2 linked regions of the Astyanax mexicanus genome follow. The protein of the gene in region 1 binds, or shares a complex with, the protein of each later gene. Links are inferred from orthologs where the notes say so. Each region holds a gene or a part of one and is shown in the gene's direction. Other genes may lie near its edges.

Region 1 (7,501 bases):
AAATAAGCCCTAGAGTTTACATGACTGAAACAGGTCTTTCTTTTTTGTACAGTCTAATATTAAACACAATTTTGTATAGCTGGCATAATTGTCTTATTGAGTTCTACCCCTTGTTCTTCTAGTGGCACCACAACCCGTCGCTTTGTTGGACACACCAAAGATGTTCTGAGTGTAGCGTTCTCTGCCGACAACAGACAGATCGTTTCTGGGTCGAGGGATAAGACCATCAAGTTGTGGAACACCCTGGGAGTGTGCAAATACACCATCCAGGTCAGTGTGTTGATACCTTGGCGCGTGCGTGCACTGCATTGATTGGTTAAAGGCAGAGGCCAAATTCTATCTGTGTCCAGCACAATTATGCCATGTTTATGGTTGTCTTGTCCATATACTCCATATTGTCCATATATTTTGTTCTGAATCTCCTTTATTCTCTCCTACAGGACGAAAGCCACTCAGAATGGGTGTCCTGCGTGCGTTTCTCCCCAAACAGCAGCAACCCCATCATTGTGTCTTGTGGCTGGGACAAGATGGTCAAGGTACGGCTTGATTGCACTCATCCCAACTCAAGACTTAATAGATTCTGCTTTACTGTACCTTACCCGATGATTACAAATCTACATACATTATCTGAGCTCTTGGGCTCTGGCGACAAGTCCTGCAATTATGATGGGTAAAGATTTTTAGCATGAAGATTAATGGTAATGTGTTTTTGTCTATTTGTGGGAGCATATTATACCAATAGTGGTTCGGAGTGCTCAAAATGTATGCATTTGCTTTTTTGACAGGTGTGGAATCTTGCTAACTGTAAGCTAAAGACGAACCACATTGGCCACACAGGATACCTAAATACAGTCACTGTGTCTCCTGATGGTTCTCTCTGTGCCTCTGGAGGAAAGGTATGACTTTGCCTTGCCCTAAAGGTTATCTTTTACTATTGACTATTGCAAGTTTTATTCAGTACAAACATATCAGCAATAAGTATAGAACTGAACCTTTTTTTAAATAACTAACATAGGGAGGCAAAACTATTCATAATGAATATAGCAAATTATGAGATTTGTAAAGTAAAAATGTGAAGTAAATTAAAGGATGGGGAACCAGTGCACAGTTGAAGGCATGTGAAAATGTGCCTGCAATCATTTTGTTTTATTAATTTGCCACTTTTTCAACCACTTCATTATTTTAATAGCCTGAATGTATTTCTGCCTGGCTTCTCAAAGAAAACATCATTGCTTGGTATAAATTAGTTGTGCCTTTTACCTAATTTCAATTGCCAAATAATTGATGCATATGTAATATTTGGGTAAATGTAAAATTGGGTTAAAAAAAAAAATAGCTTACAACTCCGGTGTAAAATGGATTTTGGGGTAGTAAAACATGAAATGAGTACTAACCTTTTTGTTAAATAGCTTACCTCCGCTCTCCTGCAGCTTTCCGAGATCCAGCCAGCACTCTTTACAATGGCCAATTCAGGACATGCACTTGCCCCTGATATCGCTTTTTACGCCATCATCCAGGCTCAGAGTAGCTCCACACAGAGCCCTGACATTTAAAATGTGGCATTAGTAACTTTTAAAAGTGCACAAAAGGCTTATTAAAACCCACTGTTTACAACCTGTAGTGTAGCCTGATCTCTAGGCACCGCCATATCAAAGTAGTCAATCAGTGTAGTGGTGTTGGCTAACGGTGCCAAAAGTAAATTTAACACTGGCGTTCTCCTTTAAGCTTAGTCTGCCTGTGGTAGACATATCACATGGTAAATATTAGAGTATAATAACGCGCTTGCATTAATAAAAGCTGTAGGCTTCCATACGAGGCTCTAATGGGTTCAGCATCTCCAACAAATGGTTGTTTCAGCTGCAGTTCTTAGCTCTAATGTGGTGATGAAACTTTAATGCCATCTGTCTCTCTGTGATGATAAAGAGGCTGTTTCTGAACATTATATTAATTTCTGATTGAGTGTGTGTAAGAATTGTGCCACAGCTCCTCAAATGTGGGTGTTTTGTTCTTGCTTGTGTTGTAGGACGGGCAAGCTATGCTGTGGGATCTGAATGAGGGAAAGCACCTGTACACCCTGGACGGTGGGGACATGATTAACGCCCTGTGCTTCAGCCCTAACCGCTACTGGCTGTGTGCTGCTACAGGCCCTAGCATCAAAATCTGGGTGAGTACTACTCCAGTTCTTTTCATTCTTAACATACCAAGACATAGATCCGTCACAAAATATTTGGTTGATATACTCTCCCAGAAGTAACTGCGATAAACAATATTTATTGCCATTTAAAGACAATTTTAAAGAAATGTAAAGACAATGACACTGATATAATAATAAATAAATAAATAGCCACTTAGTACATGTTGACCCTGTAAAAGCTGATATTGTAATTATCCTGACATTCAACTTTTGGGTGGCCTGTTTTGTGAGACTATAAGATGAGTTCAGTGACGAACCTTTTAATGCCTTCTGCTGTCCTGTGATGATAAAAGAGGCTGTTTCTGAGAACTGTCTAAAAAACAATGTTGTATGCTTTTTTTAGATTTTTTCCAAGACTTCTTAATATCCATAAGGGCAGTACTGACCATATGCATTTTTTTCTCTTGTCACTTCAGGACCTTGAGGGTAAAATTATTGTTGATGAGCTGAGACAGGAGGTCATCAGCACAAACAGCAAGGCCGAGCCCCCTCAATGCACTGCTTTGGCCTGGTCTGCTGATGGACAAGTAAGCTTAACCTATTATTCTTTTATAAAAATGCATATTTAGGTTTTTTGGGTAATAAACACTAAAAGGGCCTTACCGGACAAACCCCTGTGATTATCAAACCATATACTATCTGAAACCGCATGGTGACAGTCCTGCAATTATGAGGGGTTTGGGTTAAATTAGGCCCATCCACATATGTCTGGATATTTTTTTTTACCTCTTTATATATTTCCATTATGTATAAATAAAGCCTTAATATTTCCTTTTTTTGTTCATTAAAACAGCTGGTTTAAATTGCTGTTTTTCATTCTCTTCACAGACTCTCTTTGCTGGCTACACTGACAACCTGATCAGAGTGTGGCAGGTTACCATTGGAACTCGATAGGCTTTTTGTAATGTTTACAATTAAATAAATATATCACAGTTCTTTCAGTCATTGTCTTTCTTTTTCTACACTGCATGTAACTGACTGGGATGCCATTTCAGTTTATCTATCCAGGTATATTTACAGTGTTGTTTCAAAGCTGACATTTTACATTTAAGGTATTTTAGCAAACTCTTAGCCAGAGTGACTTACAGAAGTGATTTGTTTACTTATTATTACCTGGTTTGTAAAGACTACTTTCAGAATGTAAAAAATGTAAAGCTTTGATAATGTTTAAATGACTACGAGAAAATGATTAGTTTAGGAACTCTTGAAAAAGATGATACAAAGAGATACCAGTAGGTCCTGAAATATTTGGAAAGTGACACAATCCTAGTGGTTTAGGCTCTGCCTGCCACTACACCGGATTTGAAATTAAACTACTGATTTCACTGACTTTCAGCTATAATTCATAAGGCTGAATTTATGAAGTACAACTTCTTTTTTTTTTTTTCCTTCTTTTTTTTAAATAAACATCTATTAAAGCTCATAAAAAATGAGCTGATCCTTTTCAGGCATACAATAAATGTCAACTCTTTGAAAGGTTGGCTGAATAAATAATTAAAGGATTTGTCTGTCAATACTGGTATTACTCGGTGTGCATTCCTAAATAAAGTTAGTATATGAATAAATAGTTTGTGAGCAAAACGTATTTGCATCTTACCAGTTGATTACACAGTATTCCTGTTTTTAATGTACTTTTGCACAGTTATTAACATTGTCCTGCCAAATATTTATAGGTTATAAAGGTAGACAAAAGGCATGTGTAATTGGTAATTATATTTTTAATTTGTTTATTTTTAATAATAAACGGTCTTTAAATGATTGGAGTATATTGGGAAGAGTTATATGTGCATTTAGTTTTAAAAATGGAATAAAATCACTAGTTAAAACTAACTGCTGCTCCTGTGTTGGGGTTAGCATTGTGCAAACCAACAACATTAAAGGCCCTTATTTTTTTTAAATAAACGTTTAGAACGTTTTTATTATACTGACGCTGAACGTGGTTAAATGTTGTATGATAATTATTAGTAAATATTACATTTTATATATATTTTTCTTTTTTCAGTTTAAAGGCGTTTAAGGCGGTCACGTGCATGTGGTAACCAAGCAACCACACAGCAACAGTCCTCTGGCGCTAGTTAGCTGAGCATAGCGTAGCTTAGCTTTTAATACTGAGACTTTATTTCAATATTAACGATTTATTGTGATATAAAAAGTAACGGCGTCTAGAAAACAGTTAAATGGTGGTTTTATATCTGGACTGAAGTTTTGTTTGGTTTGAACTGGATGTTTTCGCTGTAGTTTAAAGTGTAGCAGTGAGCTGTATTAGGTTAGCTGGCGTAGTTTATTGTAAAAGCTGAGTGAGTTATGGCAGACGAGCGGAGTTTACCTCAGAAGCGCCTTTTCCTGGAGAGAACTCTGGCTCTGATTAAACCGGACTCTGTAGATAAAGCAGAAGAAATCGAGAACATAATTCTACAGTCCGGCTTCACGATTTTACAGGTATTAAACTTTACATAACCTAGCCTTAGTAACGTTAACCAGTTAACTGAACAAACTAATAGTTACGAAATTAAGCCTAGTCTGAATAAAGATAGATAACCTAATATTTCAGTACAAACTCAACATTCACAATATGTAGTCCAAGATAAAATAAAATAATATCGCAGTATTTTATGGCATTTTCACGATATCACTCTTGGTGATATGACAAAACACTGAATTTAAACATTCAAGAACCCACAAAAAGAAAATAAAAATTATATTATAGCATACGATATGATTCATAAAATTCAAGAATATTAGATTTGTAACAGAAGTCAGTGATCCAGAATGTCATGATACTAATAATGCACTCCATATATCTCCATATATCCAGGACTGAAGTAAAATGAATGATGCTAGACAGATACAGCTCTGAAAAAAAGAGATCACTTAAAAGTTTCTTTGATTTTACCAAATTTTAAACCTCTGGAAAATAATCTAGAAGAAGATTACATCAAACCAAGCTGGACATGCCGAGATACATGAAAACTGTGATTAATAACCAGGGTTGTTCCACCAAATGCTGATTTCTGATCTCTTAAAACTTAATAAATATGAACTTGTTTTATTTGCATTATTTGAGGTCTGAAAGCTCTTCATTTCTTTTGTTATTTCAACCATTTCTCATTTTCTGCAAATAAATGACAATGTTTTTATTTGGAATTTGGGAGAAATTTTGTCCGTAGTTTATAGAAGAAAATAACAATGTTCATTTTACTCAAACATCTACCCATAAATAGCAAAAACAGAGAAACTGGTGCAGAAATTGAAGTGGTCTCTTTTTTTTTCAGAGCTGTATATTATCTAGATCAGAAGTTCTCAGACTGGGGGCCACAATGGGGTGCTAAGGGGCCACAGAAAAAGGGTTAAATATATTCAATACATATTTTTCAGCTATGTTCATTTATAATTATCTGATTGGCCATATCTTTAAAATGTTAAAAATGTAAAACACATAGAAAGTTACATAAAAGTACATAAAATTACATAGAAAGTTTATGTTTTTTTTGCCCTGGGTAGGATGGGTGTTGGGGGAGCAGTGACACCATCCACAATGGGCAAATCCAACTAAAAAGTTAATAGAACTACAGATCTACACAAGTCACGTGTTACCACTGATATCTATGGAATCTTTACTAGTTAAAACTGTACCTTCTTAAATGATAAAGTAATGTTAATGTAATAATGTATAAATAATAAATTATAATAAATAAAATGTTTACATATATATATAAATTGAGAAAGGTTGATATTTGGTTTTATGTAGTTGAAAGGGCACAGTAGGAAAATATGTGGAATTATTCTTAAACTAGAGCTCAGCTGTTCATTATTTTTTTATGTTATAAAACAGAAAAAGAGGCTTCAGTTAAGTCCGGAGCAGTGCAGCGATTTCTATGCTGAGCACTACGGAAAGCTGTTTTTTCCCAGTCTGACAGCTTTCATGAGCTCTGGCCCAGTCATCGCCCTCGCACTGGCCAGGCACCAGGCCATTTCCACCTGGAAAGACTTGATGGGACCAGCCAACAGTTCCAAAGCCAAAGATACACACCCTGACTGGTAATTAAATGTGATTGATAATGTGTTCAGATTCAAGCACTACTGGATTATTTAAAACAGCATGCAAAAAAAAAAAGTTTGCATATTTATAATTATTATTATCATTACTAGTAGCAGTAGTAATAACATGGATGTCCATGGCTAATATTACTGTAATTATCAATTGCACACCTTATCATTTAAATTTCACTACAAAAAGAAATACGTTAGATAAAATCCTAATCCCTTAAAATATAGCACTAAGCAACACAAAAATGTACTATAAGGAATTCAAAAGAGTAAAAATAGGGCATTGCATGACATGCCGGTATGCCCCATATATCCCATAGGGATTCATTCCTCTCTTTTAATTTAATACAATAGTATTTATTAGATTTAAATCCTTATTGTCTGACACAGACCTAAAAATTAGGATACACCGCAGTTGGATAGATAGGCTGACTAACTGACGAGCTGACTTTCTTTTTTTCTTTATTAATCCCAGTGGGGTTAATAGAGTAATATCATTTGTATTGTATGTATAGAGAAAGTTTGGTCAGTAACCTATAAACATGATGGCAGGTAAAGTGCCTATGCAAGTGTCTTATAATGCATTTTAAATCAAATAAGGTTTATTGTCTCATCACGTAAGTACAGATGAAAAGTTGAGTAAAACACATGGTCCCACATAGTTTGCAGAAAGAACAGTGAGGTTCGTATGGTATATAATCTTACTACAGGTTAGGTGCCCTGTGATGGTTTGGACAGAACAGTGTCCTACTCTGCTCAGTGGCTTGAGTGGGTGGGTTAAATAATTTATGATCCTTGTACATCCCCCCTATCCCCCCTATCCCCCCCCATCCCCCCCCCCCCCCCCCCCGGCTAGCAATCAAAGTAGATATACAGAGTTCTCAGCCACTGGCCCAAAACAATAACCCCATGGAGGTTTTTAACCCCATCAAATTTGAAAGGTCAAACCACTGACCCCCCCCCCCCCCACCATTCACATCTTTACCCAGCCATCTCAGTCTGCAAACGACTTGACCCATCAACAGAGTACTTAAGAAAGATTGAAAATGACCCAGATTTTCATGCCGCTCAGAAACACTGTCCTCTCAAAGTTTGTCCTTACAAACTGTTTTATAGTCTTTTATAGTGTAATTGCACTTCAAATGGTTCTTTAAACTAACTTATAAGACAGTGGTTCTCAAACCGTTGTAGGTAAGGCACCCCAAGGTAACCAGATAATCACAGAAAATGTGCAGCCAGCACTAAACTGGTAACTTCGTA
Region 2 (8,236 bases), on another chromosome or scaffold:
GAATGTTTTAAACTGTTATAACATTCAAATTTATTTTGCTGCTTTGCAGCTTTATGAAACAAATGCAATATTTTTCAGTGTTTTTTTTTCATATTATAAAGGATGTCATTACATGATATTACTTTTTATCACCCACACCTACTATCAGGAATCACAAACTAAATACCTTTGTGCTACAAACAGTTTCCATAACAATATAGAAAAAGGTCACAAAAAACAGTTGAGTATACTTCATGAAACCCGTGTTGTTGATAAATGCCAAGATCAAACATTTATCTCCAGCAGTCATTAACAACTTACCCGGTCAGAGCTAAACAAAAAGTACAGGGCGAACAGTGGGAACACTCCAAACAGGCCGCCAAGCAGTGAGGTCTTTGGTGTTGCTTTGAAGTTGGGTAAGACGTGGACTCGAGCGTACGTCCACCGGGTCAGAGCTGGATCCTCCTACAAGCACAAAACCACAGCACACATTAACACTGACCAGTGAACAGTCTGCATCAGGTATTCAGAGTCATGTTTAAGGTAGTGAATGTGGTAGAAACAAACATGCTTTTATAATCTCTAGTTCATTAAAAATATCTGGATACGAGTAGACAGGCCTGAACAAATAAATATAACGGGGATTATTACTTGTACAAAGTCCGGCATGTATTTTTCCCTTATTTTAATTATATTTTAAGAACAGTTTTTAGACCCAAAATCTTATTAGAACTGTAGTAAAACTGTGTCTCGGGCATCAGGCAGGATATTTATAATCATCTGGTGTAATAACTTTATGTAAGACAGAGGTTTTAGAGAAACATCATTTACAGAAACATATAGAAATTTTTACTTAGCACAGAAGGCTTTACCTGTATTTAATTTTTCTCCTGTTCAACCAAGAGTTTACTTATAAAATCATGGAAGGTCTAATTCCTGTATTCAGTTTTACAGAAACCACATTATTATTATTATTAGTATTATTTTAAATGTATGTCTAATTTTCCCCAATTTTCTTCCTATTAAGCTAGAGCCAAATATCCCACATATTCAACTGCTAGTCAGCTGAATATACCCCCACATCAAGGGTGATGCCACAATACAAGGATGGAGAAGACTAGCACATGCCTCCTCTGATACACATGAAGTCAGACTTAGTCTCTTTTAGAACTGCTGTTGATGCAGCATTGTCGAGTAGCATCACAGCTCGCTCAGAGAAAAGCACAGCGACTCGGTTTCGATACATCAGCTCACAGACGCCCTGTGCTGATCGTGTTAGGTTATGACTTTATTCTACGCGCTTATTAAAGTCTTCAGAACACCCCCTTAGTATACACAATGTCCCTTCAGAGGTTCACCTCTTAGTATGTGGTAGATCGATAATATCGATATAAATGCTGGTATTGGTATTGAGCAATACTCGTGTAAAAAGATCGATACTCAAGCTTTTTTTCTTTCCTGTACGCACCAACTGTTGCGCACACAGATTCATCAAAGTCTACTGTCTGTAAGAGTAGCGCTGCACCCCCAAACCCGACTCTGGTCTTTTGTTGTTGCACGTGGCTCAGCGGAGCCAGCCAAACAGCCAACATGTATGGAGAGAGACACCACCTAAGTATTCTTTTTTTTTTTGGATATTTTATTAAATATAATACACTCTGTTTATTTAAGAAAAAATAGAATTGCACTGAAAGTAAAAAAATTACTTATGTTTTTTATTGTTTTTCCTAAGAACAATTCTATTTAAAAAAAAAGAAACAAATAAAGAAAGAACTAGAAAAGATGTCTAGTGAGGTGAGAATTTTTTTTGTATAGTGGTTGCTCCTTTTCTACCTCAAAAATATTTATTTTCCTAATGTTAAGGCAAACTTACTGTGCCACTGTTTCGAAACAAAAATGTTGATTGTGGTAAAGTATTTCGTTGTCATGCACAATGTTTGGCGAAATTTTATCCTAGGTCTTTTGGATCCTTTGAATCTATAAAGTTGAAAATATTAAAAGGAATCGGTATCAATATCGGCAATACTGGCCCTGCATTAACTTGGTATCGGATCGATATCAAAATTCCCAGTATCGCCCACCTCTAGTATGTGGTGCCCAATACTTCTTTTTTCTTTTTTTTAATTCACCATGTCCCTTCAGGGGTTCACTACACTTAGTATGTAGTGCTTACCACTTAACGTAAATAAAATACACCACGTCCCTTTATTGGCTCTGTAGGAGAGTGATCTAAAATAAGGTAGAACAAGGCTGACTGCATTAAGGCACTAAACACAAATAGAAGCTCGTCGTGACGCCACCTGTCAACGACCGATAGACCAGCGGCACAGAAACAACCAGTAAAACTGCCAGAGCTTAGTTAGACAAGTTAGATGGCGAGGCTGTGTTACGTTAGGACTTTATTCTACGCGTTTATTGACGTTTAAAGTCTTCAGTTAGGTTAGCTAGCTAGCTAGCTAATCAGACCGCAAACATTAGCATAGGGTAGCTAAGCTACTCTACCATACACCAAGGTCACTGTTTTAATAAACACCTGTTAAATATCAGGACATGAAATAAGCTGTTCAAAACTGTAATCTAGATACAATTAAAGGACAGATTGACTGTAGACACCGCCTGAACACATATTATACCATTATACACACACTAACAGGCTTCATACAGTTATACAGCTAAGCTAACATAACCCAGTAAACGTTAGCTAAGCTAATCTAGGTGAGCGGCGGAAAGTCTTACAATCAGCTCTTTTCTGAGCGGGTTGTTGAGCTGCATCTGGTACTGCCGCTTCAGCCGGGCTCTGATCGCAGCCCGCTCCTCCTCAGCTCTGCGGTATTCCGGAGAAAGATTGAAATACTCCGCTGGATCCAACGTTTTTGGCCGGGAAGCCAAAGGTGCCTCTTTATAGTCCGCCATGTCTGCAGACGACCAGCGAGCTGACCCGGACTGATTTACCTGCTGCACACTCACACAATATAATACAGCTCTGGAAAAATTAAGAGCACTTCAGTTTCTGAATCAGTTTCTCTGATTTTGCTATTTACAGGTATATATTTGAGTAAAATGAACACTGTTGTTTTACGGACAACATTTCTCCCAAATTCCAAATAAAAATATTAGATAGAGCATTTATTTGCAGAAAATAAGAAATGGCTGAAATAACAAAAAAATGCAGAGCTTTCAGACCTCAGATAATGCAAAGAAAACAAGTTCATAATAATAAAGTTTTACGAGTTCAGAAATCAATATTTGGTGGAATAACCCTGGTTTTTAATCACAGTTTGCATGCATCTTGACATGTTCTCCTCCACCAGTCTTACACGCTTCAACTAAATAATGTTATACTCCTAGTGCAAAAAAACAAGTAGTTTAGCTTAGTTTGATGGCTTGTGATTATCCATTTTCCTCTTGATTATATTCCAGAGGTTTTCAGTTTCTTAAAAAAGAAACCCATCATTTTAAGTGGTCTCTTATTTTTCCAGAGCTGTATTAGAAAACAGGTGAGAAACACTAGAGGGAGCCCGCGAGTAAGACCGTAATGCATGGGGTGAATGGAGCTAAACGGATAAAAACTCAAATTAAAAATAGTTTCCTACTACTCATCCAGGATATTCTTTCATTTAAGAAAGTAAATAAGAATATTTCTCTAACAAAGCAAAGAAATCGCATCTGCATTTTTCTAATCTTCCACATCAAACGATTTTTGGGCAACACGGACACTAGCATTACTGCTACTGTAAGCTGATTGATTGGTGAATAAACTGATGCTGAAGTTACAGCCACATCACTTTTAAAAGGCTTAAACCTAAAGTTTAAAATGTTTAAACCGATATCTTTAGTACAGAAACAGTTGATATTCCTCTGTTTTCAATAAATGAATTAAATGTTCAGTATAAAAAAATCAGTATAGACGCCCTCCGGTGGTCTAACAAACCCAGAGCAGAGACTCCAGGTTTAAGTGTGCAATCTGCTCTCTGGGGATTCTCTGCTCGCATCACCCAGATTCCAATAAAAGTCCGATTATGCTCAGAGTATGCTCTTATCAGTTTTTCTTTTGATAGAAAACATCTTCATAATTAAAAAACATAAAAGTAAAAACCACAACACCAAAATCATATAAAGCAGACTAATACAATAAAATAAATAAATACATCACACAAGTACAGGTGAACAGGTGAGTAAATAACTTGAGCGCGTTCTTCAAACCAGCCACCCTTTGCTCTGATTACTGCTTTGCACACTCTTGGCATTCTCTCAATGAGCTTCAAGAGGTGGTCACTTAAAATGGTTTTCAGGTGTGCCTTATCGTGGTTAATTTGTGGAATTTCTTGATTTATTAATGGGGTTGGGACCATCAGTTGTGTTGTGCAGAAGTCAGGTTACTACACAGCCGTCAGCCCTATTGGAAAACTAGTACAATTCATATTACGGCAAGAACCAATCAGCTAACTAAAGAAAAACGAGTGGCCATCATTCCTGCTTGTAAAATGACTCGACTCGGGATTTTTAGGGAGAGGAAGTCTAATTTAACATATTGGATTAAAAAAACAAAAACACCAAAAAAAAACAAAAAAAAAAAACACATGTGACATGTGCCACATTTATTGTAATAGTGCATGCACATACAATGCGTTGCTTAAAAATTTTAAATAAATAAAAATTTTGCTTTATCTTATTTCTTTTTAAAGGCTGTTTATATACAGGATTTATTTACTTACATTTACTTAGAATGTTCACCATATATGTAATTTGAACTTGGGCATCCGAACATCTCTGGAAAAAAGTGAGACCACTACAAAAAAAAAAAGAGAGATCACTACAAAATGATATAAGTAAAATGAACATTATTGGTTCATTCTATATTTTATTTTATTTTACATCTATGTTATATCTATGTTTTATGTATGTTCTGTACATTATTTGAGGTCTTAAAGCACTGCATCTATTTCATTGCTTTGATCATGTCTCATTTTCTGCAAATAAATGCTCTAAATGAAAAAATGTTCTAATATTTTAAAGTGGTCTCATTTTTCCAGAGCTGTATTTATAGTGTTATACATAATGTTAAATGAGCCCTCTAGGGGGCACTCTAGTCACCCAATAACGTGTTGCTAGGTAACGCGCTATACACAAACAGTGCGCCGCTGGGAAAGCAGGGGGTCTCAGGATGGTGACAGCTAGTATAGCTCACTGTTAGTTTACTAGTTTAGCTTTGTTTTAAAGGATGTTTTATTTCATCTAAATTAATAGTGAACCTCTCTTTTGTCCGCTGAAGGAAGCCCGTGTGTTATTGTGAGTCCGGTGAGTTGTTACAAGGTGTTTATAGAGGATTAATAGAGTTTAAAGAGCTGAGCTTAAGTCTCTCACTGGTCATTTTTATTCTGTTCTTATAGAAAACTTGATTAACCAGGCCGAGTAATTCATCACAGTCAGGCTGAACACTTGATGACTGTTGTTTGCTCTAGATTAAAGGGTAGCTACATTATATTAATAGGCAACAGTTGTAGCTAATTTATGAACCTATATAACGTTAAACTATCCTGTATATCTGTAGCACCAGTCAAAAGTTTGGACACACATTCTCATTTAATGTTTTTCTTTATTTATTTATTTATTTATTTATTTTTTTTACTTTGTAGATTAATATTAAACACATGAGTAAGGGACACAATCATATATAGAATTACATAGTAAACAAAAAAACATTCCAACTGAGATGGTGATTTGAGGTGATTTGGGATGAGCTGGAGCTTCACTGTGTGAATAAAAAGCAGCAACTATTGTTCAGCACCTCCAGGAACTCCTTCAAGACACTGAGAAAACTATTCCAAAAGACTCTCCCTCATGAAGACACTAAGATTAAAATACCAAGAGTGTGCAGATCTGTCCTCAAAGATAAATGTGAATGCTTATATTAATCTAAAGTAACATATTATGATTTGTTTTACCGTTTTTAGTTTTCAGAATAAATCTGCATGTGTTCCTGTATCATTTTATGGTCTACAATATTACAGTTGGAGTGTAAAATAAAAATAAAAAAAGATAATACATTAAATGAGGTGTCCATTATTATTATTATTATTATTATTATTATTATTATTATTATTATTATTATTATTATTATTATTATTATTATTATTATTATATAAAAACTTTAAAACTTATTTATCATTTTCATTCCAATTCACAATTGTATTCTACTTTCTGTTGGTCTATCATTTAAAATTGAAATTGCTTTTTCTTCAGTAAATTAATCTAATTTTCAGTATAAAAAATCAGACGCCCTCCGGTGGTCTAACAAACCCAGAGCAGAGACTCCAGGTTTAAGTGTGCAATCTGCTCTCTGGAGATTCTCTGCTCGCATCACCAAGATTACAATAAAAGTCCGAGTATGCTCAGAGTATGCTCTTATCAGTTTCTTTTTTTATAGAAAACATCTTCATAATAAAAAATAAAGGCATTTTATGGATTATGGATTTTATGGGATGTAGTTTGTAGTCAGCTAAATAAGCAAATAGACAGACATTAAATCAATGATTTACAGTTAAATTACAGTAGATATGTTGTGCTTGTCTGAAATGTAACTTATTCTCTAACATTTTACTTTCCTTTAATCTTTTTTGGGTTTTCACTAGATCACTTCTTAACAGGAGACATGCCTCCTCCAGATACGATGTACTGCTCCCAGCAGATCAACATTCCCCCAGAGCTGCCTGATATCTTGAAACAGTTTACTAAAGCTGCTATTAGAACACAGCCACCTGATGTACTGCAGTGGGCTGCCACGTAAGTTGGTACACTTTGCTAGATTGTGAAAAAACACATTGCATGACATGTACTGTGATTGTATCTTTGTTTTTGTTTGTTGAAATTGTCTCTCCAATTTGGCCAATTTCAGCTCTCGTCTTCAGCCAAGAACAATCATGGGATCAATGCTCTGATAGCTGCGGCGCTTAAAATCTTACAAGTTTTAGCCTGAAACAATTTAGTCATGCCCATTCACCCTGAAGCCTTAAAATGTGTTTCAGCTCGGACTGCTTATTGAATGACACCCAATACAGGGCAACCACTACAGGGCAGTAACAACCACTACAGGGCAGTAACAACCATTACAGGGCAGTAACAACTACTACAGGGCAGTAACAACCAAAAGCATATTCAATGATAAAGGATTAAAGCAACCATATTTAGCATTTTTACCTTAAAAAGAGCTTCAAAATCTGTAAAGCTCCACTGACATGTAAGAGAGAATGTGTCTGTATTCTGGCTACTCCAGGCTCAGTGTGCTGCTCACTGCACTGTGTATCTCTTTTGAAGTGGGCAGGAAAAGTAGAAAAAACTGCAAGAACTGTGCAACCTGAATGATAAGTGTGTAACATCCAGCAATATTAGCCTGCTCAAGTGTGTCTGTTCACATGATTATTTTACTTTTAATAATGGTTCTGTATCACAGAATCCCCAAATTGAATGTAAGCATAAAATGAAGGGTGTCTCAAAGTGTAAATTCCACTTGCCAATTGCAGGGGTAGCCTACAAGCGAAAAAAACAAACAAACAAACAAACAAAAAAAACAATTCTCACATACTGTGGCTTTAAGGGAGGTCATTTTTGGCACATCATCTTTAAAAGGTTATGAGCTATACATTTCAAAAGTTTTGAGGAATAGAGTAGGATTACTAATGTTGAAAAGTTTTCAAAAGACAGCTCATACACAGGTAGAGCACATTAAATATGAGTCACTTACGTCACTAATAAGAGACTTACGTTTGAAATGTAATCCACAGTTATTTAAGTTTTTCTTTTAAAATGCATAATTTCCTCTTAAGATATTTTTCAGCACTTTCAAAAGGTGAAACTCTGCCAGTCAAGGACAGGCTAGAAATGCCAGTAGCAACACAAAAGACAGACACTGGGCTTACTCCAGGCCTGCTCAAGGTCCTTCACAAGCAGGTTCGTGACATAAGCCTAGCTAGCTCTTTTATTAGTGATAAAAATGTTTGGTTATGTAACATTTTGAATGAATATAACTGAACATATTCTGACGCTGTTTTCTTTTTATAATCACAGCTTTCACCAAAAGAACCTGTTATGAAAGAGGAGTTGCTGAAGAAGTGGAAAGGCTTGTGCTTGCCGGTTGAACAGCTCAATACACTCCTTGACCTTGGCAACTTTGATGAACAAATTGACTGGATGGGGTTCTTTGCTCTGAGCTGCAGTGCTTTGGGTGGAGTAAGTGACAACTAAAGAATATATTAAAATG

Evidence for each region.
Region 2: nme5 (region 1) and ropn1l share a complex: the UniProt entries of both Homo sapiens proteins name them as parts of the axonemal radial spoke complex. The link is inferred for Astyanax mexicanus from reciprocal best matches to the Homo sapiens genes NME5 and ROPN1L.

Annotation. Positions count from the first base shown.
Region 1 is NC_064417.1:28,157,382-28,164,882, reverse strand, and holds the start of nme5 (nucleoside diphosphate kinase homolog 5), read left to right. Parts: upstream 1-4,231; 5' UTR 4,232-4,498; coding exon 4,499-4,633; intron 4,634-6,026; coding exon 6,027-6,232; intron 6,233-7,501. Other genes in the region: rack1 (guanine nucleotide-binding protein subunit beta-2-like 1), read left to right, coding at 123-270, 441-536, 786-896, 2,024-2,164, 2,611-2,721, 3,023-3,088. UniProt on the Homo sapiens protein: Functions as part of axonemal radial spoke complexes that play an important part in the motility of sperm and cilia. Does not seem to have nucleoside diphosphate kinase (NDPK) activity.
Region 2 is NC_064408.1:99,302,853-99,311,088, reverse strand, and holds the start of ropn1l (ropporin-1-like protein), read left to right. Parts: upstream 1-5,103; 5' UTR 5,104-5,277; intron 5,278-5,369; 5' UTR 5,370-5,421; coding exon 5,422-5,449; intron 5,450-6,611; coding exon 6,612-6,762; intron 6,763-7,802; coding exon 7,803-7,926; intron 7,927-8,043; coding exon 8,044-8,205; intron 8,206-8,236. Other genes in the region: ndufb4 (NADH dehydrogenase [ubiquinone] 1 beta subcomplex subunit 4), read right to left, coding at 301-444, 2,716-2,892. UniProt on the Homo sapiens protein: Functions as part of axonemal radial spoke complexes that play an important part in the motility of sperm and cilia. Important for male fertility.